Cricetulus griseus: one gene and its partners. The protein of the gene in region 1 interacts with the protein of each later gene in a pairwise test. Links are inferred from orthologs where the notes say so. Each region holds a gene or a part of one and is shown in the gene's direction. Other genes may lie near its edges.

Region 1 (3,855 bases):
AGCTGTGGGTGTTTCTCTTAGTCTAGTCCTAATTTTGGATAGAAACATAGGCGTATAGAGCTAAAAAGAGCAAGGAACCTTGAGTCTGTAGGTTACTTTTTATGAAAAGGGGAAACAGATCCAGAAGGGTTCCAGTTCCATCTTTTGGTGTCAGAATGTGGTTGCCTACCACACAGAATAGTAGGAGATGTTGAGGAAATGCGGGTCTGAGATGATGAGATTTTGAATATTTTTGAGGAAAGAGTGGATAGAGTATGATGAATGCTGTGTGTAATTTACAGGAGAGGGTAACCCTGAACTAGAAGACCACAGGGAACACAACTTTAACTGTCAGAGGGAGGGCAGGAGGGAGACCAGGTTATAAGAAAAACTATTGGAAGTGTTCATGTGACATGGTCAAAGGTGGGGAAAGAAGGAGAAGGTAGAGCCCAGACTGTTGTTAAGTTTTAAAAAGCGACTGGAGAGAGAAAGACCATGCAACAGAGTTCAAGCAGGGGGCTTTTTTATTAGGGGGAAAGAATCATAAAAAGTGGAAAGGGGAGGGGGGATATCATCGGGTTCAGGAGCAGTGGGAGAGAGGAAAGGGGGGAAGAGAGAGAGAGAGAGAGAGAGAGAGAGAGAGAGAGAGAGAGAGAGAGAGAGAGAGAGAGAGAAGGATGGAAGGTGGGCAGGACCCTTTTAACAGGGCACAGGTGATGCTCTTAGTGGCAGCAGCTGAGGCATATCCTGTCAGGGTTCCAAAGGCAGGCCAGTACAGGTGCCTAAATACTAACAGGTGCTTTGTTGATTCATTTTTATCTAAATGAACCATGAGGATGGTTAACTTTGAATGAATTTTATTAAACTATTTAACAAAATTCTATAGAATCATTGCTGATTTATTAAATGACAGTTACTTTTATTCATGTGGTATATATAAAATCATTCTTTTCTTTTGCCCAGCTTTTTTCAAGGTTGGTTCTCATTTATTTGTGCCTTCCAATTTTAGGAATTCCATCATCAGATTCTAGGAATGCAAATCTCTATTTTTTGGATGTTGTACAACAGGCCAATACTATTTTTCATCTTTTTGACAAACAGTTTAATGATCACCTTATGCCACTAATAAGGTTAGTTGCATTTCATATTTTCATTGTTATTTCAATGAGTATTATGCTTTTATTATTTTTTAAATAATACGTGTTTATGAAACACCAAACAGGACAGTAGGTTTGAAACCAAAGTCTTTTCTTCCTTCCTTGAATTCATTGAATTCTTGTTTTCTCTTCCCACTGTGCTGTTAATTTTGATATATTTGAAAAGTTTTAAGTATCATAAACCAATTGGAAATCTAACATGAACAAGGCTTTCCAGCCTAGTGCAGCTCAGCAAATTCACATCCTTCAGAAGACAGAACAGGTACCAGACATGGTGGGGCACACCTGTACTCCTATCTACTCAGGAGGCTGAGGCAGGAGGATCTCAAGTTTGAGGCAGTCTAGTCAACATGATGATTTCAAAGTCAGCTTGGACAACTAAGACCCAGTCTTAAAGGTGCTTTCTTTTGTTTGTGTTTGCTTTTTGTTTTCCTTTTTCTAAGGGCTGAGGATAGGAGGGGTATATAGGAGGGCTTTGGAGGAATAAAGGGAATAGAGAAATTATGTAATTATATTGTAATCTCAAAATAAAATTTAAAAGTTCTTCTTTTAAAAAAAAGTTAAGGCTGAGCTCAGTGGTAGAGCTTGCTTTAGTATCTACAAGCTCCTGGGCTCACTCCCAAGTAACATGTACACATAGACACACACACATATACACACCAATAGACACGATACACTTGTTATAAAGACATACAAAAAAACATGAATGGACAAATTTTGATAATGCATTAAGATTTTATTCATATCTTCATATTAATTTATATGGACTTCTAAAGCATTTGAAATTAAATGGAGTAATGTATAATATATATATTACATAAAATTGTGTCATTAGCACAATTATCTATACAGGAAATGTTCAGATAAACTAGAGAGTTTCATAGTTTTTTATAAACAGTTCTATGACATGTCTAGACGAGAAACAAGCTCACAGATCACTTATTATTCCTGAATCATACTTTGAAAGGAAATTTACTGTTTTGCTGTGTAGCTTAGGCAGGTATTACAGGCATGAGCCACCAAGCCCAGTTTAGGAAGTTTTCTTAGTGAATTATTTTGTAAAAAGCTGCATGTCATAACAGAGAATTCACAGAGGTGTTAGTGTTGTGTATTCCTTAATGTTTTAATAGTATTCAGAAGCCTACCATGGTTATTAGGTTTTGTATCTTTTTATTTTAAAAAAAGCTAAATGTAGCAGGATTTACTTACTACTGTCCACATTTTTGTTAGTAGGATTATCTGTTACTTTTCTTACTATTATACCAGATATTTAGATACAGAGGAAACTAGTTTCAAATTTTCAAAGTGCTATCTCCTCAGTGATTAGAGTAACAAGTCTGTTTTTTCTTTGCTTTTAATGGGTTAATTTTTTTAGTATTAATGAATTGGGTATGTTAATGTACATAATTGTATGTAATGATTTATTTTATAATTATTGTGTATATGAGCAAATAAAAATAATGGGTGTTACAGTCTATTTACAAATATGTATTCATGTTGTACAGATTAGAAACATAGAAAGTAGGCTATTAATGGGAGTTTGTTTTCCTCCTTAATAAACAATAGCTCTTCTCCTAAGTTATCTGAATGCCTTCAGAAGAAAAAAGAGATAATTGAGCAGATGGAAATGAAATTGGATACTGGCATCGATAGGTAAGTTAACTGTTTTTCTCCTGCATTTTTAATAATTGTAGAAGTGCATTTGCATTGCAGCATGAACATGGTTTTTATAAAAGAAAGTATGTTTATTTTTATTCTTCTGGCTGTAAAGTTGACACTTTAACACATTGTTCTTATTTTCAGGAGAATGCTATTTTTATTAATCCCCAAGGTGTTTTTTGGTATGTTTTTCTTTTCAAAGTTAGTATGCTTAGATATATTTTCAAATCAAAACAGTTACAAAACCCTTTTAAACCCCACTCGTCTGCACCACACATGTACAAGCTACAAATTCCTTTAAAATAAGATGTTGGGCTGGGATGTAGTTCAGGGGTAGACCATTTTAGAGTGTGGGGAACCCTTGGTTCAATCCTAAATTCTGCTGAAGCAACAAAGGTATTCAGTGTTTGTTATATTTCCATTTAATGTGCTCTGGCTTATCTATGAAATATTTTAATAATTGTATTGGTTTTGTATATGTAACTTCTGCTAAGTGAATTTTAAAACTTTATAATCTTTACTGAAGACTATAAATACTATTACTTTCCAGGTTTCTATTTTCAGAACATGGTCTTCTTATATTGATTGAAAATTAGTATAGCCCCTGGTTATCAAGTATTTGCTGATATATCAGACACAGTACAAGGACTGTGATGTGATCTATATCCTTTAATCTCAGCATCTTACGTTGTTCTACTATCCTTTTGTAACTTGACCTCATTATTGTTGTGCTTAATTATGTGGTCTGTTTCTTGAATTTAACATTAAGCTTATCATTTTGACTGTCTTGCAACTACTAAACTCTGAATTAGTGTAGTCTTTTTTTTATCCCCATAAGCTTGCTGTTGGAGGATGTCACATGAGTTAAATATTATTGGTGCCTTCTAATCAGTGCCTTTATTTTTCAGCTGGGATTTAGTACCACTTTTCCATCTTCCTGATTATTTTTTGACTGTGGGACTCAATGTGCTTGCTACCACAGCCATTCTTTTTAAGCCTTTTATCTTCCACTTTCCTAAATATTCTCTATGTATGGCTTTGACTTAGATCCTTACTTATG
Region 2 (2,969 bases), on another chromosome or scaffold:
AACAAGTAAAAAGCTCATAGGGTGAGCTCTGGCCTCCATATGCTACACACCTGCACACATGTATTACACACATACATTTTTGTTTTGTTTTGTTTTTTGTTTTTTGAGACAGGGTTTCTCTGTGTAGCTTTGGAGCCTATCCTGGCACTTGCTCTGGAGACCAGGCTGGTCTCGAACTCACAGAGATCCTCCTGCCTCTGCCTCCCAAGTGCTGGGATTAAAGGGGTGTGCCACCAACGCCTGGCCACACACATAAATTTTTAAAATAAGACATCTTTCCCCCAGTCAGGTGTGGTGGCATATACCTTTAATCCCAGCATCAGGCAGGCAGGGGCAGGTAGCTCTCTGAGTTCTAGGCCAGCTTGGTGTACATAGTAAGTAATAGGCCAGCCAAGGCTACATAGTGAGGCTGTTTCAAAAACCAAAATAAGCAAATAATAAAATACTTTTAGTGAGTATATTTTTGCTCTTCACAATGAAGATACAGTTGCACGGTACGTTACACTTTGCCCTTTTCCACTTACCATGTTTGGGGAGCACGGACTCATGGCCATTTTCTTGGTCCTCAGGTGAGCTGGACCCAGAGAGAATGGGCTCTGGCATCCAGTATGGAGACGCTGCCCTGAGGCAGCTACGGTCACCACGGCGTACACAGGCCCCAAATGCACAGGAATGTGGCTGTTAGGCATGCCAGCAACACAGGTGGGTGCTGGAGGCCCTGCATGCTGGATAGAAAAGAGTTGCAAAACTGCAATGGGAGGGTTGGGGAGCCCAGGAGAGGAGATCCACATGGATAATCAGAGACCTGCCCAACAGCACTGGCCCTATAGGAACTCCTCCCAGCCATTCAGAAGCAAAGGCAGAGCAGGTACCTGCTGTGACAGAGTTCCTGCTCCTTAAACCTTGGAGTAGACTTGGCCTAACGAAGACCTCCATAGGAGCATCTCTGAAACCAATAGGCACTCCATTTTTGTTTTGTTTTTAAAGATTTATTTATTTATTATGTATACAGTGTTCTGTATACATGTATCTCTGCAGGCCAGAAGAGGGCACCAGATCTCATTTCAGATGGTTGTGAGCCACCATGTGGTTGCTGGGAATTGGACTCAGGACCTCTGGAAGAACGGGCAGTGCTCTTAACCCCTGAGCCATCTCTCCAGCCCTTGTTTTTTGTTTTTTTGAGACAGGGTTTCTCTGTGTATCTCTGGCTGACCTCATACTCGCTCTGTAGACCAGGCTGGCCTGGAACTCAGAAATCTGCCTACCTCTGCCTCCTGAGTGCTGGGATGTGTACCACCACAGCCTGTCTATACTTTTGATAGCTCTTTCCCATTTACCACAGTGGACTTTTTTGTCAAAGAAGCTGAAGCAGGAGCTTACTATATAATATAGCCTAGGTGGGCCTACCACCTTATGGCAATCCTCCTGCTTCAGCCTCCCTAATACTGAGATTCTGAGTGTAGGCCATCATGCTCAGCTCACCATGGCATTATCTAGCAGGGTAAACCAGTGTTAATCCAAAGGTGAAACTGTCTGTCCTGTCTGTTGGGCCATGAGCTGTTTTGTGTTTACAACCACACAAGTATCTAATCAAGTATCTAACATTTCTCAGGTTCAGTGGTGGTTTCTGGAGCACAGCTGCTGGAGCTTGAAGAGTCTGAAGTTTTTACAACCATCTTTTCTACTCTGCACAGAAGTAGATCTTCATGGGGGAAACATCAGTGCACACTGGCAGACAGGGCTCAGCAGCCATACTGCAAACTAACTCAGCGGACAATACCTTTAGATGCCACATGTATGCAAAGATCCCTACCCCACATCCCTACCCCTTCATGTTCCGTTAAATCAAGCTTGTGCTGCACACAGCCCAGCACGTTCCTACAGCACAGAGCCAGTGTGACATGGTAGAATCCTGCACTCAAAGAAGCTTTTTTTTTTCAACTCACAGGAAATGCAGTTTGTGAATGTGAGCGTGCTTTTCTCATTGTGTTGGTTACACATATGACTCAGTATCAAAGGACTCTGGCGCTAACAGTCAGTGCGTTTCTTATTTAATCCCTCTTGTCCTTTTTACACTGTTTCTGTGATCCACACCTGAAATGCTAAACCTACAGGACGCACTAACATCTGGAAATAAAGTGGAACCAAGTTTCTCGTGCACAGTACACTAGACTGCTCTGTGGACTGTAAGGCTCTTAACTGAGGTCAGTGCAAGAGCCGCTGTGGGCCCCAGTCAGCCTGCCCGGCTTCCATATCACCCTTGACCTCCACTGTCTGTCTCCCTGCTAGAAGACCCATTATAAGAGCATCACTGCCTCTTTTTCCACATCTTACATTATTTTGCAGTCATTTTCAGGAAACTCACTACCTCTGGCAAAGGATACTACTTAAGAAATCTTGGGCTCAGTAGTAAAGTGCTTCACTCTACATGTGCAAGGCCCTGAGTTGGATCCCCAGCAAGCAACTCCCCACCATACACATTACCATCATGCACGGTGTGGTGGTACACATCTATAATCCCAGCACTCAGTAGGCTGAGACAGCAAAAGGCTATCAATCATGACCTCAAGACCATCCTGTGATAGACTGGAGTGAGTACAGGGTAGAGGTGGATCACACAAAACTTCTTTGTAGCTCTTCTGGAATATGTAAATGCCTTTACTGTATACAGTTATCAAGCTAACCTGGTTTTTGTTTGAGACAGGATCTCACTATGTAGCCCTGGAACTTGCTATGTAGACCAGGATGAGCTCAAATTCAAAGAGATCCATCTGCCTCTGCCTTAAGAGTTCTGAGATTAAAGGTGTAGGCCACAACACCTAGCAAAGTTCCTAACAAGCAATGTTTCCTGAACACTACCTTTTTTTGTGAAAATTTTAATATGACCAAACTTCAGTTCTCTTCTATTTAAAATGTCTTCCAATTTTGAGGCTTTTTCTTTGGCAGTTTGTTTTATGTGTGTGCTATTT
Region 3 (4,560 bases), on another chromosome or scaffold:
GAATTCATGGATGTTCAAGGTTTATCATGTACCCAAAGTAAGTTTATTAAGTTTTATTCAAATCTTGTATTATTATTGTGTATATGCCTGTGTTCATGTCAGCCACAGGACATGAGATGGGCAGACACAGCTTTCCAAAGTTAACTTTCTCCTTCTACCATGTGTTCCAGGGCTGAGATGGAACTCGGGTCATCAGCTTGGTTAGCAGGCAGGGGCTTTTTTACCTGCTGGGTTTCCAGTCCTTGTAATGTATTAAACAACAAATTGCAACAATAACAGTAACTGGCTGTAAAACACACAAAGTAGTTTTTTTGTTTTGGTTTTTGGTTTTTCGAGACAGGGTTTCTCTGTGTAGCTTTGGAGCCTATCCTGGCACTCGCTCTGGAGACCAGGCTGGCCTCGAACTCAGAGATCCGCCTGCCTCTGCCTCCCGAGTGCTGGGATTAAAGGCGTGTGCCACCAACGCCCCGCACAAAGTAATTTTTAAAAACGGTAAGACATGCTTTAAAGTAAATGTCTGCAAAATATGTATCAAAATGCTAACTCATAAAAATGTCTTGTTTAATTTGAAAACAATATGCAGACTGCACCCGCTTGCTACAAGGACTCCTAAAGATGCAATTACTGAATTCTCAGAGCCTAATGAAAAAGTATAACCTGGCATAACCAAATAACTGCAAAGGCCAAAACATGTAAACCAAAAACATAATACCTCAGGGCAGGAGAGATGGCTCAGTAAATAGGAACACTTTCTGCTCACACAGAGGACCCCCCAGTTCAGTACTCAGCACCCACGTTAGGCAATGCCCAACTGCCTGTAATTCCGTTCCTAGAGATCTGATGCCCTCTTCTGGATTCTGATAGCATTTCATACACACACGCACATACGTGTATGTACAGGCAAAGAACCTCATACACACAACACAAAAGTGTTTTTCAAAAACCTTAATACCTTTTACAAACAAATATATTTTATGGGGAATGTGGCAAAGAAAGCCTGTCTGATATTAGGTGCAGAGCTAGAAATGTAGCTCGGAGTGCTTGCCTCACCTACTCGAAGACCTGGGTTCCATCCCCAGGCTGGAATAAACGCAAGAATTGGGAGCTGGTGGCAGGAGAATACCAAGTACAAGATTACCCTCCACTACTCAGCGAGTTCAAGACCAGCCAGGGCTGCACGGGACGCTGCTTAGAAAACTACTGATCAGGCTGATTACTTTTCTCTCCTTACAGTGCAGAGATCTGGAGCGGCCTCAGGGAGAAACGCGGGGTCTTGGCCCTCCACCGATCTGAAAGTGCGAAGACCCACAGGTGGTCCCCGCGCGCGTGGAGCTCGAGACGCCCTGAGAGTACGAACCGCCTGTGAGGCCCGGCGCCACCGGCTTTGATCACGGGAACCCCTCCCCTACCGCCCGGACTTTGACTCAACTCCTGATAACTGTTTGCCAACAAAGACCAACCGCGAGCGAGGGGGAGGAGCCCGGGCGTCGGATATCGCGAGAAGTGGCCGCCCGAGCGATGTGACAGGCGCCGGCGTGTTGCTGCTCCGGACCCTCTCCGAGGGAGGAGCTATAGTCGGAGTACCGGCTGGACCTTTGGGGTAAAAATCTCGCGAGATTTGATCGCGTCACCTCGAGCCCTTCCTGTCAGCCGCCGGAAGTGCGAGCTGCTGAGCGTCCGAGTTTCTCGCACTGCGGTTCTCCTGCGACTCTGGGCCCGCGTTCCTGTCGCAGGCTCCTGGGCTCGCGCGTCTGGCCGCCTCCCCCGGGGCGGAAATAATGGGGGACCCCAAGGAAGCAGGAGCCGAGGCTTCGCCTCCAGGGGCGGCCGCCCGAGGAGGGCTCAGCCTCCTGTCCCAGGCGGAATCCGAGGAACCTTCTTCTGCCCAGGTGAGGCTTCGGGACCTGCCGGGACTCGGGGGTTTGCGTGCCCGCCGGACCTGGACGGGAGATCGCGGGGCTTCTGGAGCTTACTTCCACGCCTCCTTGGCACCTCTGGTTCGGAAGGAGTCACCGGGTGTGCCTGTCGTCGGGTTTGCAGGTGTTTGCTTGCAAGGCATTGATGCAGAACACACCTGGTTTCCCACGCGCGGGTAATTGATGGGACTGGTTACCGAATGTGCCACGGCCTTCCGAGGGCGGAGGAAAAAGGGACAGTGCCAGGGAGGGCCTCACCTAAATCTTGACTGAGCTGATACCTTGAAAGGCGCAAAGTGTTTGTCAAGCCTAAAGCGGCTCTAATGAATGTGAGTCCGGACTCTGAGCTTGCACCGGAGTGTGTTGTCTCAGGATGAGTTTACGAATCGATCAGTCGCTGTAGGTTTGATAAAATAAACACGACCCAGTATCTTCCTACAGTGTCTTCGATGTATGCTAAACTAAAATATTCTATTAAACCCGTTCACCGGTCTTGCTCATTTTGCATGCAGTTAACGTGACACAATTAAGCGCGTTTGGTTTCTGATGCTCCATTGTATGTGACTCAACAAACTGGGTAGTCATTACTGGTGTGGAACTGGTTGTGTAGACCAGTGAGGCTGGCTTTAGACCTCGCAGTGACCCTTCTGTGTCTGCCTCCGCGGTGCTGGGAGCGCACGTGTGCAACCACTATGCCCAGTATTTTAAAAAGCAGTTTGGTTGGCCTTTATCCACTTCTTAGTTGATCCTTTTCTTTTTTACATTTAATGGAAAACAGCTAGGTAAGCATAATTGAAGCTTGAGTCTAAGTGTTACAGCTGACTGGCAGCATAGGCTCCTTGTGAAGCCTGATTTGGTGGGTTCTTGTATGACGGTGAGATTGTCATTCCCAGCAATATTCATTAAGGCTTCGCTCCCTGTGTTAATTAGGGATCAGCTTTATTTCTTGGAGGCAATGAAGTGAAAAGCCGAGCCGTGGTGAAATATTCTTCTGCCCCTCCTCGAACAGCATTTGCACGTCTTGAAGAAAAAACAGACTTGAAACTCCCACCTGCCAACTGGTTACGAGAGAGTGCCAAACTAGGGCCAGCAGGAACTACCATTCTTGGCAATAGTAAGAAAAGCAAGCCATTTTCGAGGTAAATTTTAGTCGCTGGCATTTCTTCCCCTCCCCTTAAACCCCCAGTTAAAGCTGCTTCCCAGTTCAGTTTGAGATACACATTAATTTGTTCAGATATGTTTAATAAAAATTTATAGCTGTCTTTCAAATTCATGGTGCAATAAGATGACATTGGAGTTATATGCTTTCTTTAAGTCTGTAGCATGTTTTAACAAACATGAATATTGACTGCTAATAAGCTGTTTTATCCATTTGTATGTGCTCTGAATATGTGCAAATAGGGTGGTGTGTAAGGAGCAAGACCTGAGCCACTACTTAGCTTGCTGTCTGGAGTTTTTGTTTGTTTGTTTGTTTTCGAGACAGGGTTTCTCTGTGTAGCTTTGGAGCCTATCCTGGCACTTGCTCTGTAGACCAGGTTGGCCTCGAACTCACAGAGATCCTCCTGCCTCTGCCTCCCGAGTGCTGGGATTAAAGGAGTGCGCCACCAATGCCGGGCAGCAAAGTGGGCAGGGGTCTTTATCTTTTTGGTTTTGGGGGGTTTTTTTGTTTTGTTTTTGTTTTTCAAGACAGGGTTTCTCTGTGGCTTTGGAGGCTGCCCTGGAACTAGCTCTTGTAGACCAGGCTGGTCTCGAACTCACAGAGATCCGCCTGCCTCTGCCTCCCTAGTGCTGGGATTAAAGGCGTGCGCCACCAACACCCTGCTTGGAGTTTTTATTAAATGGTGATGTAGTATTTGAAAAAGCCTGAGGTTAAAAACTCCACATGCTGGGTAACCTACATCTTTGGCCCACAGTGGAAATTCTACTGGTGATATTTAAAGTTAAGAGTGTCCTTCGGTCTTAGCTAGTGTCCATATTCTTGTTGACCATTTACTGTGTGTTCTTTTTCTTCCCCTGAATGATTGGACTTAAAATATTTTCATATAACTTATATGGCAATAACCACAAACATTGATACCCTATGAGCTAGTAGTTTAGAAATTATCCAGATGCCTCAGGCTAAAAGCCATGTTCACAAGTTGTTTATTTTTGGATTTTTTGTTTTGTTTTTTTTTGGGGGGGGTTGAGACAGGGTTTCTCTGTGGCTTTGGAGGCTGTCCTGGAACTGGCTCTTGTAGACCAGGCTGGTCTGGAACTCACAGAGATCCACCTTCCTCTGCCTCCTGAGTGCTGGGCACAAGTTGTTTATTTGTAGCATTTTTGATATTATGAAAAGTCTGAAAATAACCATATATTTTTATTATTTTAAAAATGGCTTAATTGTATTAAATGTGAGTTGGTTTAAATAGTTATGTTTACTATATAAATACTATGCTAGATTATTTTTCTGTGTTTTTTACAACCATCTTTTTAAGATAGACACTATTAACAATTTGCAAATGAGGAATCAAGGTTAGCCTGTTTATGCAGAGTAGATGGAAAATCATATTAAACACATGCAGTCCTAGGTAAATGTCCCGACTCATTCACTTACTAATGGGAACATGGTGACATCAGTTGCTTTTCAAGCTTGTAGATCACGTAG
Region 4 (3,855 bases), on another chromosome or scaffold:
TAGAAAGAGCGTGGCTCAGAACAACAGCTGACAGATGTGGCCTAGTTGTGGTTTGAGTCACACTCACATTTCTGAGGGCCCATAGTGGACCAAGCACTCCTCCAGGGGTTAAAAACCTAAGATGAGGAGGGTCTGGGCATGGTTCATATGGAGCCTGCAGTTCTTCATCCTTTTACAACCAATATATTTTCCTTGTAATTATTCTACCAGTTTCAATAGGAAATCTGCTGTAATGACAGATCCTGACTGGATGCGGTAATTCACACCAATAATCCTAACACTGGTGGAGGTTGAGGCAGACTCTGCGGGACAGAGAGAGGCCAGGGCACACATCTCCAGGCCCCTAGAGGCCCAGGCAGCAGTGCTGTGCAGTGCGATAATGGATGGCTGGGGTAACTAGCTGCAGCTTCCAGAAGTATCTACAAAGAGCATTTCCATTCCTTTGTAAGGACACTAACAAGTGCCGTGCACTATGAGTCTTGTGAGTGGTTTTTCTTTTGTGGGTCCAGAGCTGTTTTTAGTCATTTACTTTGTGATAAAATTCACATTTTAAAAAAGGATGTCACTGGAAGCAGATAAATCAATCCCATTTAGAAACACTCTCTATGGAAGAGCATGTTGTTTTAATATCTAACCACTGTAAACTAATAAAAAAAAATCTCAATCCTCTTTCAGAATAGCATATTCATTTTCTTAACTTTCTGAGTTTCTGAGTTTCACCACAGGGACATAGAGAGTAAAATCCAGCCTGCAAACTGCAGACAATACAGCTGGTTCACCAAGTAAACTGTAAGGACGAAAAATAGAGAGGGGGGATCAAAGAGATTCAGAGGGAGTAACCAAGATGGCCCAGTGGATAGAGGGACTTGGTGCTAAGGGCTTGATGACCTGAGTTCTAGCTCCAAGACTTATGGTAGAAGGAGTGAACCAACACCTATGAGTTCTCTGAACCTCTACGTGTGTGCCGTAGCAGGCATATGAACACACTAACAAATGTAATTTAAAGAGACCCATCACATATTCTGGGTTTAGGTCCCATCACCGAGACTCTTGCTTTGGGGAGCTGGACAACACACCTCAGCTCCTGTTTGCTGAATGGAAAAGTTAAGACCAAGTGATTTCTTTTTGTTTGTTTGTTTGGTTGGTTGGTTTTTTTTCATCTTTTTTTTTTATTTGAATTAGAAACAAGATTGTTTTACATGAAAATCCCAGTTCCCTCTCCCTCCCCTCCTCCCCTACAGCCCCCCCAACTAAAACCCTACCTATCACATATCCTTTCTGCTCCCCCCTGGAGGGTGAGGCCTTCCATAGGGGGTCATCAGAGTCTGCCATATCCTTTGGGATGGGGCCTAGGCCCACTCCCGTGTAAGACCATGTGATTTCTAAGTCTTAGTATTGGAGCAGGACCAGATAAGAAGTGGGTGGAGCCTTGCCCAGGATGCAGCACATTGGCATCTGGACAACCTCTGCATTAGGTCGTCTTTCTCTGGGTGTCAGTCCTAAACCCTGGCCATCCCAGAGTGCAACCCACCATGGATGGGGACACAGGTTCTAGGAAGTGACTGCCTTTCTTGAGGACTGTAACTAGAACGTGAAATTATGGGATTGGAGGGAAAGACTAGATACACACAAAGACAGCCAGGTGGGCATGGTAAGATCCTAATTCAGTTTCATAAACTTAAAGAGCATTGGAGTTTTGGGCCAATTTCACATTTGATTCTGCCTGATATGAAAGAACAGACTGTTAAGACACTATAAAGGGTATTCTGGGGGAAGAGAGAAGGACAGAAAAGGGGAGAGGGCCCCTTAAAGAGGAAATAGAAACAGCCATTTCTCACCTTCTAAGTGTTCAGGTATATTCATAAAAGTCTCTGTGCATTTTCTTGATTTCCCTCTCTGGCCTTATCTCTTGGAGCACAGATGATTTAAACACTCTAAGCTTACTCAGTGAACACAGCTCTCTGGCCCACCCTTGGCTGCCGCCTTTGCCTGGGAGTCCATCTTGTCCAGGATTTCTGGCTTCCATCTACCCTTCAGTATTTTGTCTCCTTTGGAAGGTCCATCCTGATACAAGCTGCCCACCTCCCAGCAGGTTAGGCACCCTCCAGGACATTCCTCAAGCATGTCACTACACTGTACTATAAATATCTGTTTATTTTTATCCCCCTACCCCATATGTGTGTGTTCTGAGAGAAGGATGGTTGTGTGATTTAATCTCTGACCCCCAAGGGTAAGATACAGTGAGTAATCTTTTTGTTGTTGTTTTTGGTTTTTGTTGTTGTTGTTGTTTAAGACAGGGTTTATCTGTGTAACAGTCCTGACTGTCCTTGAACTTACTTTGTACTAGGTTGGCCTCAAACTTACTAATATCAAACTGCCTCTGCCTCCCAAGTGCTGGAATTAAAGGTGTGCACTACCACACCTGGCTAACTGCTTACTTGAAACTTTAAGCAATGGACTTTAGGGGTTGGGAGAGAACTGTGAATTTAGTGAGCTGTTTGTTGGTCAGTACTAGTCAGAAAGGAGGTGCCATGGGTCACAGACATTCTCAGGAGAGAAGGACTGAGGGAGTCCAGCACAAGCCGCAGCTGCCCTGTGAGAAGGGCGGTTCATGTTTCTGGGTCACTCTCCCTGCAGATTAGAAGCCAGATGTATCAGGAGGAAGACCGATGCACTGAACAGGAACGCATGAGGATTGAGATCTCCGACCTCACGCAGGAACTTCACCGGAAGGAGATGACTATAGCAACTGTCATGAAGAAAGCTGCCCTTCTGGAAAGGCAGCTAAAGATAGAATTAGAAATTAAAGAAAAAATGTTAACCAAGCAACAGGTATGCGGGCAAGAAAACACTTTCCAGGGCTTGACTGTTGCTCAATGCTCATCCTAGCCCTCCTCCTGCACTGTCAAGAAAGAGCCTTGGGTGCCCCTGGGTCAATGTTTGACACCTGGTGACAGAGATACCTTGTGGTACCCCCTTAAGGCCCGTGCCATGCCACAAAGTATCATCAAAGGAACACTAGAGACCTACAGGACCACACATGCAAGGGCAACCAGTCCCATGCTGACCCTCCCCTGTAGCTGTCTTCCCACACCTCATACAGCCTGCTTCCTTCTGCAGTTGTTTTCAGTAGGACCTTTCCACTAACACTCTGCCCACATACACACACACACACACACACACACACACACACACACACTTAATGTATTGCCATTAGTGTTTTAAACATAGAGGCTACAGAATAAAAGTTGACCCATATTTACTAAACATCCATTCAGCATACAGTATGTCCTCAGAGACAAGCAGACATTTCGAGTTTCTACAGTTAAGACACTGCAAGGAGCCAGGCATTGGTGTTGCACACCTTTAATCCCAGCACTCTGGAGGCAGAGGCAGGCGGATCTCTGTGAGTTCGGGGCCAGCCTAGTCTACAGAGCGAGTGCCAAGAAACCCTGTCTCGGAAAAAAAGAAAAAAAGACACTGCAAGGGATGCTCATGCCCACCCTCCCTCCTATTTATGTTTTAAAGTTCCCTGCTTTCTTGTGACTAACCAAATTTGTAACCTGCTTTTAACAGCACAGGCTTTATGGCCTTTTCACTCTAAATCTAAGTGATTTTGGAGCACAAAACATGAACCAAGACAATCTCCACAACAACAGTTAAATCGTGTATGTGTATTTACAAAAAGGAAAGATTAGGCCTCCATCCAGTCATAGGCCTTAGACTGTACCACACACAGGAGAACAGCAACAGGGCAGGCACTACCTGGGCAGAAGACTGTGCAGATGGCCAGAGTGAGCAGCTGCACATGAATGACACTCATTTTCGTTTTCATATTGCCATGTTTCCTAGACT
Region 5 (4,485 bases), on another chromosome or scaffold:
GCTCTATATTTCTCAGAGTCCGTGTTGTATCTGCGTGGTGTTGTTGCAGCAGCTGCAGCAGCTGCTGATGGATGACAGGATCATAAGCTGGGGCAGGCCTGGGACTCAGTATGTAGCTGGGATGACCTTGAACTTCCTATCCTCCTGCCTCTATGTAAAATGACAGGCATGCCCCACTACACCTGCTTTGAGCCCATATTGTATTTGAATTATTTCTCTACTTTGAACTCCCTGTTTATTATACATTGCTTTTTCTTAAAATTCTTACCCTTTCTTAGAACTTTATGACTTAGAAGATTGTAATTTCTTCTAAAATAAGGTCAATTTTTGGAGTAGAAGAATATAGTAGTACAGCAATTAAGGAACTACTATTGTAAATGGATTGGAGAGATGGCTCATGGGTAAGAGTGCTTACTCTATAAGCAAAAGGATTTGAATTCAGATGCTAACAACCATGTAAAAACCAGGGTGAGGTTAAATGCACCTGTCATTGTAGTGCTGTTAGGGAAAGAGACAGGAAGATTAGCTGGGTCTTGTTGGCTGCCAGCCTAGTGGTGGGTTCAGTGAGAGACCCTGTCTCCAAGGAATAGGGTAGAGAGTGCTGGAGCAGGACACCTGACAGCCTTCTCTGTCTTCCCCAATGTGCACACACATGTGCATACACATGTATGCACATGAAAATAACGCTTATAAGTTCCATCATTCTTCCATATTATTGGTTTATTTATACATTCCCTCATTCCCCATTTTAATTAAAAAATAATGCTAGTCTGAAGCTCAAAAATGTTTTTTCTCCTTGATGTTTTTGCTCCTTGCATGTTGCTCATTATCAGGAAAAAAATACTTTAAGAGGGATTTTACCTAATAATGTATTTATATTAAATTATGCAAATTGAATTTTTACATAAAGATTTAAAATAGCTGAGGGAAGTAACTATTATGAATGATTTTTAGTAAGCACAATGGTTCTTGCATTAAATATTTTAGCTTTGAAAGAGAATGTCTATATGTGTGTACTTCAAAGGACTGTGAAGTCCACACATGAAAATCTTAATACAAATTAACAAATATATTCATACACAAAACAATACCATGAATTAACTCAGAGGATTTCAGCAATAAAAGATACTACTAAAATATGAAGATTACACCCAAAATATGACAGTAACATGACTTGATTTTTAGTGTCAGTGGTATATGATAGTTCTTTTTTTTTTTTTTTTTTTCTGCGACAGAAACTAACTAACTGGTACCTATATAAGAGATATCTTTATTGTTAATCTGTAAGTGGGTTCATTACATAAAACCTAACTGTTCTTCCCACCAGATACCACTCCCATATGGAGACTAATCACCCTAAACAGCTTTCAGCTGAACAGCCAAAACCCCCAGGGGACAATTCATCACTCAAGCAAAATGGCCTGGGAAAGCAAGATGGCCAGCAGCCCTCAACCTCACTCGAAGTACCAGAGCAGGAGACAAGTGTATGCCCTGAGAAGGGCACCCATGACATCTCTGAAGAGTTGAACCGACAGCTGGAGGACATCATAAACATGTATGGGTCTGCTGCCAGCCCCACAGAGACAGAGGGTACCACTGAAGCTAAGGAGCAGCCCGAAAACACAGAGATGCTGGACAATGAGGATGGGGACTGTGAAGAAACCACTGAAGAGACAGACAGAGAAGCCACTGCTTCTGAAGAGCCAGCCTCTGCCAAGGAGCCTGTCAGCAATAAAGAGCAGAAACTGGAAAAGAAGATCCTAAAAGGGTTAGGCAAGTATTATGTCCTCATATATGACTTTTCTCTTAATTATCCCATTTGCTTTAACTTCACTAAAAGCCATGTCTAATACATTTGAATTAATATAATATCTTCCTTTGGGGCTGTATTTGTCCCACGCCCATTCCTTTAAATAAAACTAAAGTAAAATTTTAACACAGTGCCTATCAACTCTACCTATGTGGCTTCCCGATCCTCTTAGAGAGAACATCAAAATTCTTGTGACTTTTTTTTTTAGTCCCTTAAACTGATCTAACCCTAACCAGTTTAAGCTTGATCTCATTTCACGCTATCCCGAGCATCTTTCTTTCTCTTTCTACCCCTGATCCCACCACTAGTGCAGTCATTTATTCTCATCTTGCATTTTGGTTTTCTGAACTTCCTTGTTCTCTTCTCCAAAGGCGCCTGCACATTCTACCTAGAAACCTCTGCCCACTTTGCTCTGCCACCCTTCCAGCCTTCTGAGCAGAGAACCCCTACTTAGCATTTAACTCAAAACCAAATGGCAATTTCTAAGCCCAATTCTAAAGTTGTAACTTCTTTGAGTCTGCATTGTACCATGTTTCCTTTTTTCATAGTACTAGCCAGCATTTTGAATTATACATTTTGGAGGAGAGTATTTGGTTAATATATCTAATTCCCAATTGAATTTTTTTCAATATCAAAATCAATGTATGTGTGTATGGGTACAAAATAGGAGATGACAAATTAAAAGCTCAACAGATATTTGCTAAGGATGAATTATATGAATTGGAAATTTAAAGCAATCCTAGTAAATAAGCAAAATATAGTAAATAGGGATAAGTTCATTGATAAAATAATTATCAGTTAGATCACTTACTATAAAATATTTTTGATTAAGCACAGATCACAAAAAGTGTGGTTACATTTGCCACAAATGACAGAAGACCTATAACTGCACTCATCTATTGTTAGTCTCATGATCATGTGTTAAGGCCTGCTTATGACACACTGTGCTGGGAGCACAAAAAGAGATGATCCTTTGGTTAAGGGCCTCTTGGTACAGATAGAAAAGCAAACACATGCACCATGATGCAGCAGAAACAGGCAGAGGAGAACATGTTTTTTTTTTTAAGAGCATTGAGGATTGGTAGCACCAGCAATAACTGTGGATGAAGGGAAAGAATGCTAATTTTGAAGCTATGGCTGAAAACATTACTATATAGGAAAACCCCTCAGTCTGTCCCCAGTAGTGACTGCCACTACAGCGATCACTTCAAAGACTACTTCCCATGTAAGACTGAGTTAGCATCACCTTTCTCACGTCTCCATTAAATTTTCTCCAGCTTCCATGCTAGATGGGTGAGCTCTCAAGGAGTAACCACACCTTGTTCATTTGTATAGTGTGATAGAGTGAAATACCAAGGGCATTGAGTCTGAACTTTGTTCATACTCCACACGCTCCAGTAACAGATTTCTACCTGTAAACATTAGAATAGGGGACCATTGTGGGCATAAAACTCATTAAGAAAAGGATTTCCAGCAATACACCTGACACCCCCCACCCCGCTGCCACACACACAAAGATCACAACATTTAATATATTTTCACATTCCAAACATGCAAGTCTGAATCATTCTAGAATACCAGGAGTCATCATAATGGCCTTCTGTGTTAAAGAGCAATTTTTCACTTTTCTAATCAAATCATCTTGGATGTGCCTCTTGGCACCGTTACATTACGGATCCAGGATGTTCCTGAACCATTGTGCATATCCTCCTAAACCATTTATATAGAGATTTCTGTGTATTGGCTATACTAAGGGACAAAGCAGGAGGAAAATAAGGGGAAATTAAAGACAACCAACTGGAGCTTCTACATACTCTCCCATGAATTATTTTATAAATCTATATAGTACTTACAATTACCAAATAATTAGGACAGTTTTTTCAGAATGAGAAAAAAAAATTACTTTTTTTTCCTGCCACTCTCTACAAATTACCAAGCTCCAGCCCAATGCGTTTGGCTAGAATTTCTGTTTGTGCATCAGAGGCCAACTCTCAGCATGTGTGGGCTGGTGGCCTTTCTGTGCTATCCCACTCTATATCATTAACATATTCTTCTACACACAGTACAGTCTCAGCTACGCTCCTAGTTATAACAACATTTTCAGGCCAGCCTACACATAAAACCTCCACTTCCAACTTAGCTGCCTACAAGTGGCTTTAGGAAACTTCTTGGCTACTTGATCATTACATGGTGCTGCAATATTGTCTACAAACTTGACTGTGTGTTTAAACCAAATTCAGAGCTTGTCAAAACTCTGCCGTGCACAGAGATTCAGAACTGGTGCACATAAAGCCAGCCCAAGGCACTGTGACAATGTGACAGAAAGCAGGTTGTAGAAGAAAAGGGTGCTCTGGCTTCAGAAACTGTTTCTTCCAACCTTAGTGTTAAGTTCTGGTTGTGGGCTTCTTTGGGCAGAAGGAGGTTGCCAGACAAGGTAAGGCTCTGCCTGCCATTTGTGGTTAACTAGTAGATATTTGTAAGTCTTTTTATAAAAGAAAGCTGCTCAGTGGCCTCCCTGAGACTGCAGAGGGCTGCCATTTCTCTGAATAACAATTCTAAATATGCCAGAGAAACGGGTTCCTTGTGGGACATTCTACTCATCATCACTGACTATAGGTAAAGCTTCAATATCTATACTGAGAAACCCATAGGCAGGACACTGTTAACTGTATAAC
Region 6 (4,465 bases), on another chromosome or scaffold:
AGCACCAGCTTTCTGTTGTTGATCGTTTTCTTCACTGCTTAAGTTTTTCTTTAACTTCTTTTTAAAAGGTGGAAGCTTAGCTGGGTAGGGTTTTGCCTGGGTCACCATTCCCTTTATTCCTTTTAGCATCAGGCTTTTCTTTAAACCTTTTATCTCCTTGAACACTGGATTTAGCGCCATTACATTTCCCTGTGCTCCCTTTCTCAAACTGTACATTCAGCATTTCTCCTTGCCCACTTGCTTTTCACTGTAGATGTACAGAAGAGGGACTGCTAGTAACCAACACAGTCAATATTAGGTGATCTTGAAATCTCCCCTACCGATGCCATTAATCCAATTTGCTTCAATTCACCTCCACCAAAATTTTACAACGGCAGAAAGCGGCCACATTCTTTGTCAAAATATCACAAGAATGATCTCGAGGCCACTTACCAATATCCCCTCTGATATTTCTTGAGCTAGGCTTCCACAGTTCAAATTGCCCTCAGCACTGTCTTCCATGCTTCTCCTACCTCCCATTAAGCACAAGGCACAAGGATGGATACATTAATAACATATAGCAAGACGTTTTCTATAGCAAATAAGTTGATTATTTTTCTCCTGAATTTTTTTTTTGAGGGGGTGGGTGGGACGAGGTTCAATATATATTATTGGGCGGGGTAAAATAAAAATTAAACGTAAATATAAAACAAACCCATACCCAGGTTCTACAAGGAAAAAAAAAAAAAAAACTACGGTGAAAAAGACTTAAGACGAAGAAAGTAAAACTGTTGCTTTCACCGAGGTGTCTTGGGAAGGTGGGAGTGGTGGCCAAACAGTGAAAATGTTGTTTCCCTCTTCCTATCGAAGGTCCGCAAAGCAAGTTTAGGAGAGACAAAGATGAAACACTAGGCAGAAAGGGCCTGCTCCTAATTAAGACAAGTGGGTTGGTCAATGAGAGCCGCCTCTTGGCCTCTGACAGCACAAGAAGCCTCTCTGGGTGTTGGCCTGCCTTGTTCCCGGTAATCTCGAAGTGACTGGTAAATAATGAATAAATGCAGTAAATACGTGAGTGTCGCAGAAGCCAGTATACAGAAGCGGCCAAGTGAGAAGCAGATACGAGTATTAAAAACAGGTCTCCAAACGCGGTATTTCTGGACCCAGGGACCCCTTAGAACACAGCGTGCGAACCTGCGCAGCAACTTCCCCGGGAGGCGAGGGCATGCGACTGCGCTTGCGCAGGCCACTATCCCCGCCCTCTTCAGGCGTGAGGGCCAGTGGGGCGGGCCTCGGCCAGGGCGGGTCGACTCCAGAGGGGCGGACTGGGGAAGGGGCGTAGCCGTCGGGTCGGTTTCCGCCACCCGCTTCCGGGCTCCGCTGGCTGCGCGCGCATCCTCCCCCCTTCTTTTGTGGTCCGGCCCATTGCGAGGGTGACAGGAAACCCTGTGCAGGGAGCGCCGCCATCTTGGACCAGCCCGAGGAAGATCCTGAGGGAGCCGCAGGGTCAGCTGCCGCCACCGCCGCGACTGCAGCCCGAGTGTCTGCAACCTCAGGCCAGCCCGCCTTCCTGCTGGGGTCTCGGCCGACGGGTCCCGGCCGCCCTCCCGCCGCGTCCGCGCTCCGCTTCCTCGTCCTGACGTCCCCCTCCCGTCCGGAAAGCTGCCCAGCCACCAGCAACCCCCCAGGTAACCAGGGCCTTCCGCAGCGGCCGCCCGTCGCCGTCCTCCGGGCCCGGCCCTGCCGAGGGGCGGGGGCGAGCCGGCAGGTAGGCGGGCGCGCGTCCCGGGCAGTCCCGCAGGCCGCGGCCAGCCCGTGGTTGGCGGAGGGCGCCGCTCTGACAGCGCTCTGGGGCGAGCTGTCGCCCGCGCCACCCGGCCGGGCTCGTGCTCCGAGGGTGCGGGAAGGGTGTGTTCCGGCCTCCGCAGGCCCGGGTCTCGCCGCCTCTGCCCGCAGCTGCACATCACCCCCGCAGCGATTCCCCACGCGTGTCACCGTCCCGCCACCCACGAGCCCCGGCTGGGCAGTCCTGCCCCACAGGCCTTACCTTTCCGGCATCCCGGACTGGCTCCCGTGTCCTTGCGGGCACCCGGTTGTACCCCGGCCGGGGATACGGTCGCAGTACTGTTGACGAGGTCTTCGCTGTAAAGTCCCCGGCCAGCCTGCGCGGTTTAGAACCTAACACTACACAGCATCGAGAAATAACGAGGGAGAAAAGTTTGGGCATCTTGAGAATTTGAGAAAAGGAAGTGGCCCGGGGCTGCTTGGAGAGTTTGCACTGCACTGTGTGCCAGGCACGGGTTTAGGTGTCTTCACACGTATCTCGCTTCAAGTGCCTTTGGAGAGTTTTACGCATTTTTTATAAGGACTAAGGCCAGAAGTTGCGTGTAGCTGAGTAATGATGGCACACACAGACTGGCTTCTCCCTGCGCTGGCTGGTGTATTTTGCACCACACTACGTTCAACGAGGGTTGGATATGCAAGACGTGACCGTTTTAGAGCAGTGACAACTCAATTCCATTTTTCCTCTCTTTGCACTGGGTGATAAACAGATAACATCCAAAAGCTCTCATGTCAGCTGCTACACTGGTAGATGCTCATTGGAGGAGAGATGGTGGTAGGATTTGCTCTATTTGTGAAGAAAGCTGTGTTCTTGGTGGCTGCCCAGTTAAGTGCTAGAAACTCTTGGAAAGTTTACGGTTCATGGCATGTTGTTCTAACTACCTTTTATGTAAATGTGATCACTGAGGACAAGTTTGACCCCACAGTAATCCAGCTCCCTTTTTTCCCTTCCTTTCAACAGTTTTTCTCGGAAATTCACTGTAACTAGGAAGTGGCAGTACCAGAATAGGAATCCAAGCCATCGAGACTCCAAAACCTTAAGCTACACACCCTCAGGCATGAACAAGTAAAATCGCTCAAACAGTACTGCCACTTCCTAGTTACTTAATTAACCCTAACCAGGTAAGCTATCCCCCCACCCCCCCCAATTCAGTGTCCTTATTTGTAAAGGGAATAATCGTGCCCACATTTCAGTTATTTCTAGGATTAAATAGGACTTAAAGAAAGCACTTAGTACTTTGGTTGGCATGTAAGTGCCACAGTAACTCTTAATTTTGCTAGGCAAAATGGGTGTTTAATAGCTGTTGAATGAAAGGAGCTTGGCTTTGGAGTAGACCCTGGGCTTAATGCTACCTGCTCATTAAGTAGTATATAACCATCAGTATGTCATTTCTGACCTGGTTTCCTTATTTGTAAAATGAATTTTTAGGATTAGAGATTGTTTATGAAGTAGCTGGTTTATATTAGACACTTAGTAAGTGGAGTTACTATAATATAAAGATGTAAAATCTTAGATTCTCATAGCTATTGAAAATTCCTTGGAATTAAGGATATTTTTCTTTAAAAAAATCTGCTGTTTTCATGTTAAATTTTATACTTGTAAACTTCAACTTTGCAAAAGAGCTTGGAAATTTTTTGCAGCCAACTTTGTAAGTATATATTTGCATCCTCTTACCAAGACGTGTAAGATAAAAATGTTAAAACTAAGCTATTGGGATGCTTGTGTCATTAAAAAATGTTAGCAACATGGGGCTGGTAAGATGGCTCAGTCAGTAAAGGTTCTTGGTCCAAGCTTGACAGCTTGTGTGAGATTCTGGAACCCATGTGGTAGAAGGAAAGAATGACTTCCTGCTTGTTATTCTCTGACATCCACGTGTGTGCAGGCATACACACAAATAGCTATGAAAAAAGCTGTGGCAGGAGACAAATGTTAGTATTAAGAGACAACTTTATTATATAAGTTTCCATAATACTAGATTATATATGAGATACCATATTTCAAACTTTTCAAAGTCTGCAAAATAAAGCATTATATTGAATATCAGTTTAATGAGCATTACTATCATATTACCCATCAGTTGGTGTCTGCAGTGAACAGTCTTGTTTTAGCTATGCATTGCTCCTCCCATCCTCATCTGTATCTCAGATATGTCAGGAACATTTTTACTCTTATAATCCTTTCAAATACAGGATTCATAGTTTTTTGGTTAAGTATTTTTATGGAAAAGAGGGTGAAGAATTGGAGTATTTATTTCTTCATAGCATACTATCTTTAGTGGGAAGGTTTTGTCTTTCTTTTGGGACATTGTCAAGCAACCCAGTACTTTTAAGAATTTATTTACATTAATTTACACAAAAGTATAACCTTAAATGACTTGTGGAAAGTTGATTTCAGAAATGAACATGTTGTTTTCAGAGGTCGTAATACTATTATGGGAAGGAAATTGACCATTTTGATTAGATTATTAGATTAACTATGAAAGTTTTATGTCCACCTGGCAGACAAGTTGAGTATCATTCCACTTCAGGAGCTTCTAAGCAAGAATGCATCCATTCTTGAGTTCTGTGAAGGCAGAGACAATGTTACTCCCTTTTTTGATAACTGTTAAAACCTTTAGTAGTAGTGATTTGTGCTTAGATACTAGGT
Region 7 (3,855 bases), on another chromosome or scaffold:
TTGCTCAGCTTGCACAAGACCTTTGGTGCTGTCCTCAGGACCAAAGAGAAGGAAAAAATAAATAAAAGGCTTAAGGGTGTAGATAAGGAGTAGAGTTTTTTTTTTTTTTAATTAGCTAATTAAGTAAATGTCTTTGTGTGTATGCCTAAGCATACTATGTGTACTATATATGTGCAGGAGCCCCCAGAGATGAGAAGACTGAATCAGATACCCTAGGGCTAGAACTATAGGTAGTTGTCAACTGCCATTTGGGTGCTGGGTATATAACCCATGTCCTCTGCAAGAGCAGTAAGCCTTACTAACCAACTGCTGAGCCATCTCTCCAGCCCCAAGGAGTAGTGTAGTGTTTGAAGAGGGATTTTTCTTTAAAGATTTCATTTATTTATTATGTATACAATGTTCTACATTTGCCTGCGTGTCAGAAGAGGGAAGAGGGCACCAGATTTCATTACAGATGGTTGTGAGCCACCATGTGGTTGCTGGAATTGAAATCATGACCTCTGGAAGAGCAGCCAGTGCACTTAACCTCTGAGCCACCTCTCCAGCCCAAAAGCAATGCTACCATACTGCTTCTTTTTTTTTGGGGGGGGGTGGGTGGGTTCAAGACAGGGTTTCTCTGTAGCTTTGGAGGCTATACTGGAACTAGCTCTAATAGACCAGGCTGGTCTCGAACTCATAGAGATCTGCTTGCCCCTGCCTCCCAAGTGCTGGGATTAAAGGCATGCGCCACCACCGCCTGTGATTTTTTTATTTTTCTCTCGAGAAAGGGTTTCTCTGTGTAACAGCCCTGGTTGTTCCGGAACTCACTTTGTAGCCCAGGTTGGCCTCAAACTCACAGAGATCCACCTGCCTCTGTCTCCCGAGTGCTGGGATTAAAGGTGTGCGCCACCACGGCCTGGTTTGAAGAGGAATCTTAAAACAGACAGACACTGAAACCTTACAGCCTTAGAGGGAAGAAGAGACATAGACAGGGGAGACGAAGATGAAGGAGTAATGAAGGCAAGAATGGGCACTGAGGGGATAGGTCAGAAGCAGAGAGGTTCCGGAAGGGTTGGACAGCTGTACTTGAGACAGAGAGGTGAGTGGATTGCAGAGGGGGGATGTATGGGCTGGGCACCTAGTAAGTCTGCAGATACAGAGAGAGAGAGGGACAGAGAGGGAGGGAGGGAGAGAGAGAGAGAGAGAGAGAGAGAGAGAGAGAGAGAGAGAGAGAGAGAGAGCGCCAACTGCTAAGTTAACTCATGTGCAGATTGACCATGTGAGGTACTGAGAACCCGGAGGCAGAGAGAGGGTGACAGAGACAGGAGTGTGACATGGCCTGGCTTTGCAGTTCGTGCATGCATTCCAGAGGGATCCAAATTGGTGACACAGGGAGTTGGCCACACAGGAAAGGGGGCCTGCATCAGACAGCGGAGAGGGCCATGTAGAAGTTGTGTGGCACTTGGCCAGGACGGGCAGACGGGAGACACTGAGAAAATGCTGACAGACTCACTGAAAGGAATGAATGAGGGAAGGCAAAAGTGAGCATGGGAGAGACAGGGTAAGAAAGACTGACAGACAAGAAAGAAAATTAAGGAAATTATGGAAAATTACGCTGGGTGTGGTGGTAGATGCCTGTAATTTCAGTTCCTTGAAAGGCTTAGACAGGAGGACTGCAAGTTGATGACATGGTCTTGTAAGATGGCTCCGTGGGTCAAAGTGCATGGTGTCCACCCGAGGACCTAGCTTGAGCTCAGGAGAGAACCAGTCCTTACAAGAGTCCTCTGACCTCCACGTACACACTGTGGTACAGTGCACACCCACACACCCACAGAAAAGAAATAACTAAGTAAGAAAGTTCCAGGCTTGCCTGGAATACAGTGAATTTGGAGTCGGCCTAGGTAAGTTAGCATGTCGTTGAATTAAACTGAACTAAAGGGTTGGGGTGTCACTCTGTGTGGAGCGCTACCTAGCATGTGCCAGGCCCCTGGGTGTGGTGGCTGAGGCAGGGGAGTTGCCTTAATATTGAAGCCAGGTGGGCTGCTTAGTCGGTTTCAGGCCAGCTTGGGCTAGAGAGTGAAACTGTCTCAAAAACGAACCCAAATCGTAACACTAATTGAGATAGGCTGTGAACAGAGAAACTGTATCTCAAGAGGACCAAGGTCACGTTTTAGGGCATGGGCCAACAGTAAAGGGGGGTCTCCGAACCATTAGCCTCTCTCCACAGAGGGGGGCAATCCCTGGGCAGATCCCAGCCTTGGGGGTGACTGGGTCCCCCTGGCCCCACAGGTCGGTGACGCGGAGTTATTACCGAGGGGCAGCTGGAGCCCTGCTGGTGTACGACATCACCAGGTGGGTGCAGGGTCTGGGTGGCACGGGAGAGGCTGGGCACGGATGGCCCCACTCCTGGGCTGCCTCCCTCTTCTGTCTGTTCTTCACAGCCGAGAGACATATAACTCGCTAGCGGCGTGGCTGACTGATGCCCGAACGCTGGCCAGCCCCAACATCGTGGTCATCCTCTGTGGTAACAAGAAGGACCTGGACCCTGAGCGTGAAGTTACTTTCCTAGAGGCCTCCCGCTTTGCCCAGGAGAATGGTGAGGGCTTTGCTGTGGACCAGGTGGAGGGATGGGCCAGCCCACTGTGGCCCACTGTGCCTCTTAGCTACGGGTGGATGGTGGTACCTTAAGCGCGGAGGCCTCAGCAGGCCTGCTTTCACTCGAAGCACCGAGTCACGTGACTGCCGTGGTCTTCAGGTTCAGGGAGAAAGAGGATGAGCAGTGTGCTGGCCACGGGAACTGCCCATCACACCCTTAGCTCCTCCTGGTACAGGGCAGCTGCTGGTCAGTCTCTTACACAATGGGGAGGCGACATAAAGCAGGGGTTGAAAGTGGCTACTGCAAACTCAGGAGGCGGTGGAGATAGAGACCTTTGTAAATGAAGGCTAGCTTCAGACTCACTCTGTTGCCCAGGCTGACCCGGCTCTCCTGACCTTCTGTGGGGTCTCTGCCTCCCCTGAGGACTGTAGAGGGTGTACAGGCATGGCCAATTCATGTCCTCCTGCCTTTCAGACCCCCAGGTTTAGAAGAAGTTTTGTGGCCAGGCAGCTGTGGGCTTGACGGGAGGCCCTGCCATGTGACCTCTGGGTGGCTGAGGCGGGCTTGGGGCTGTGCTCAGTGAGTCTGGGGTCAGTGCTCAACTCAGGCTCGTAGTGCAGAGGCGGGCCTGCACAAGAGCCCTTTGCTGACAGTGACATCAGAGAGAAGTCACTGCTAGGACAGGGGAGGCACGGGAGACTCAGGCTGGGTCCTCAGGGTTTTCTGGGGCAGAGCCAGGGGAGCTGAGTTGGGAAGGACGAGGTCGGTGAGCTAGCTACACGTGTAGGTAGGGGACAGCATTCCCCACAGGGGAACATGTGTCCAGTGTCTGAGGTAAGGGCAGGCACGGGTAGAGCTTCTAAGGAACCCGGAGCTGGAGTGGTGGGTGGGGACTGACAGAGCCCCTGCCCCTCCAGAGCTGATGTTCCTGGAGACCAGCGCTCTCACGGGTGAGAACGTGGAAGAAGCCTTCCTGAAGTGCGCGCGCACCATCCTCAATAAGATCGACTCAGGTGAGGCCCATCCGCTCTCTGAGAGCTTGGGGGCCGGGGGCTGAGTAAAGGCCGTCTCCAGGGCCTCTGAGGACCACTTCTGGCTTCTCCCCGACCACAGGTGAACTAGACCCCGAGAGGATGGGCTCAGGAATTCAGTATGGTGATGTATCCCTCCGCCAGCTGCGGCAGCCTCGCAGCGCCCAGGCCGTGGCCCCTCAGCCCTGTGGCTGCTGAGACCTGCAGAGCCAGGTGGGATGCTGAGGGCTCAGGAGGCAAGAGGGCTTT

The links.
Region 2: the proteins of Exoc5 (region 1) and Rab4a interact in binary tests that used the Homo sapiens proteins (3 or more experiments, as listed by UniProt). The two-hybrid records come from large-scale screens. The link is inferred for Cricetulus griseus from reciprocal best matches to the Homo sapiens genes EXOC5 and RAB4A.
Region 3: the proteins of Exoc5 (region 1) and Edrf1 interact in binary tests that used the Homo sapiens proteins (3 or more experiments, as listed by UniProt). The two-hybrid records come from large-scale screens. The link is inferred for Cricetulus griseus from reciprocal best matches to the Homo sapiens genes EXOC5 and EDRF1.
Region 4: the proteins of Exoc5 (region 1) and Deup1 interact in binary tests that used the Homo sapiens proteins (3 or more experiments, as listed by UniProt). The two-hybrid records come from large-scale screens. The link is inferred for Cricetulus griseus from reciprocal best matches to the Homo sapiens genes EXOC5 and DEUP1.
Region 5: the proteins of Exoc5 (region 1) and Txlnb interact in binary tests that used the Homo sapiens proteins (3 or more experiments, as listed by UniProt). The two-hybrid records come from large-scale screens. The link is inferred for Cricetulus griseus from reciprocal best matches to the Homo sapiens genes EXOC5 and TXLNB.
Region 6: the proteins of Exoc5 (region 1) and Rab14 interact in binary tests that used the Homo sapiens proteins (3 or more experiments, as listed by UniProt). The two-hybrid records come from large-scale screens. The link is inferred for Cricetulus griseus from reciprocal best matches to the Homo sapiens genes EXOC5 and RAB14.
Region 7: the proteins of Exoc5 (region 1) and Rab4b interact in binary tests that used the Homo sapiens proteins (3 or more experiments, as listed by UniProt). The two-hybrid records come from large-scale screens. The link is inferred for Cricetulus griseus from reciprocal best matches to the Homo sapiens genes EXOC5 and RAB4B.

Annotation. Positions count from the first base shown.
Region 1 is NW_023276807.1:205,066,988-205,070,842, reverse strand, and holds part of Exoc5 (exocyst complex component 5), read left to right. Parts: intron 1-988; coding exon 989-1,109; intron 1,110-2,702; coding exon 2,703-2,789; intron 2,790-3,855. UniProt on the Homo sapiens protein: Component of the exocyst complex involved in the docking of exocytic vesicles with fusion sites on the plasma membrane.
Region 2 is NC_048596.1:200,514,547-200,517,515, forward strand, and holds the end of Rab4a (ras-related protein Rab-4A), read left to right. Parts: intron 1-569; coding exon 570-685; 3' UTR 686-702; intron 703-1,612; 3' UTR 1,613-2,165; downstream 2,166-2,969. UniProt on the Homo sapiens protein: The small GTPases Rab are key regulators of intracellular membrane trafficking, from the formation of transport vesicles to their fusion with membranes.
Region 3 is NC_048596.1:67,229,465-67,234,024, reverse strand, and holds the start of Edrf1 (erythroid differentiation-related factor 1), read left to right. Parts: upstream 1-1,653; 5' UTR 1,654-1,778; coding exon 1,779-1,889; intron 1,890-2,846; coding exon 2,847-3,055; intron 3,056-4,560. UniProt on the Homo sapiens protein: Transcription factor involved in erythroid differentiation. Involved in transcriptional activation of the globin gene.
Region 4 is NC_048597.1:129,076,007-129,079,861, reverse strand, and holds part of Deup1 (deuterosome assembly protein 1), read left to right. Parts: intron 1-2,637; coding exon 2,638-2,832; intron 2,833-3,855. UniProt on the Homo sapiens protein: Key structural component of the deuterosome, a structure that promotes de novo centriole amplification in multiciliated cells.
Region 5 is NC_048595.1:271,878,655-271,883,139, reverse strand, and holds the start of Txlnb (beta-taxilin), read left to right. Parts: upstream 1-1,340; coding exon 1,341-1,773; intron 1,774-4,485. UniProt on the Homo sapiens protein: Promotes motor nerve regeneration. May be involved in intracellular vesicle traffic.
Region 6 is NC_048599.1:147,001,552-147,006,016, reverse strand, and holds the start of Rab14 (ras-related protein Rab-14), read left to right. Parts: upstream 1-1,447; 5' UTR 1,448-1,664; intron 1,665-2,779; 5' UTR 2,780-2,940; intron 2,941-4,465.
Region 7 is NC_048602.1:8,748,301-8,752,155, forward strand, and holds part of Rab4b (ras-related protein Rab-4B), read left to right. Parts: intron 1-2,268; coding exon 2,269-2,331; intron 2,332-2,420; coding exon 2,421-2,575; intron 2,576-3,492; coding exon 3,493-3,588; intron 3,589-3,688; coding exon 3,689-3,804; 3' UTR 3,805-3,819; intron 3,820-3,855. UniProt on the Homo sapiens protein: The small GTPases Rab are key regulators of intracellular membrane trafficking, from the formation of transport vesicles to their fusion with membranes.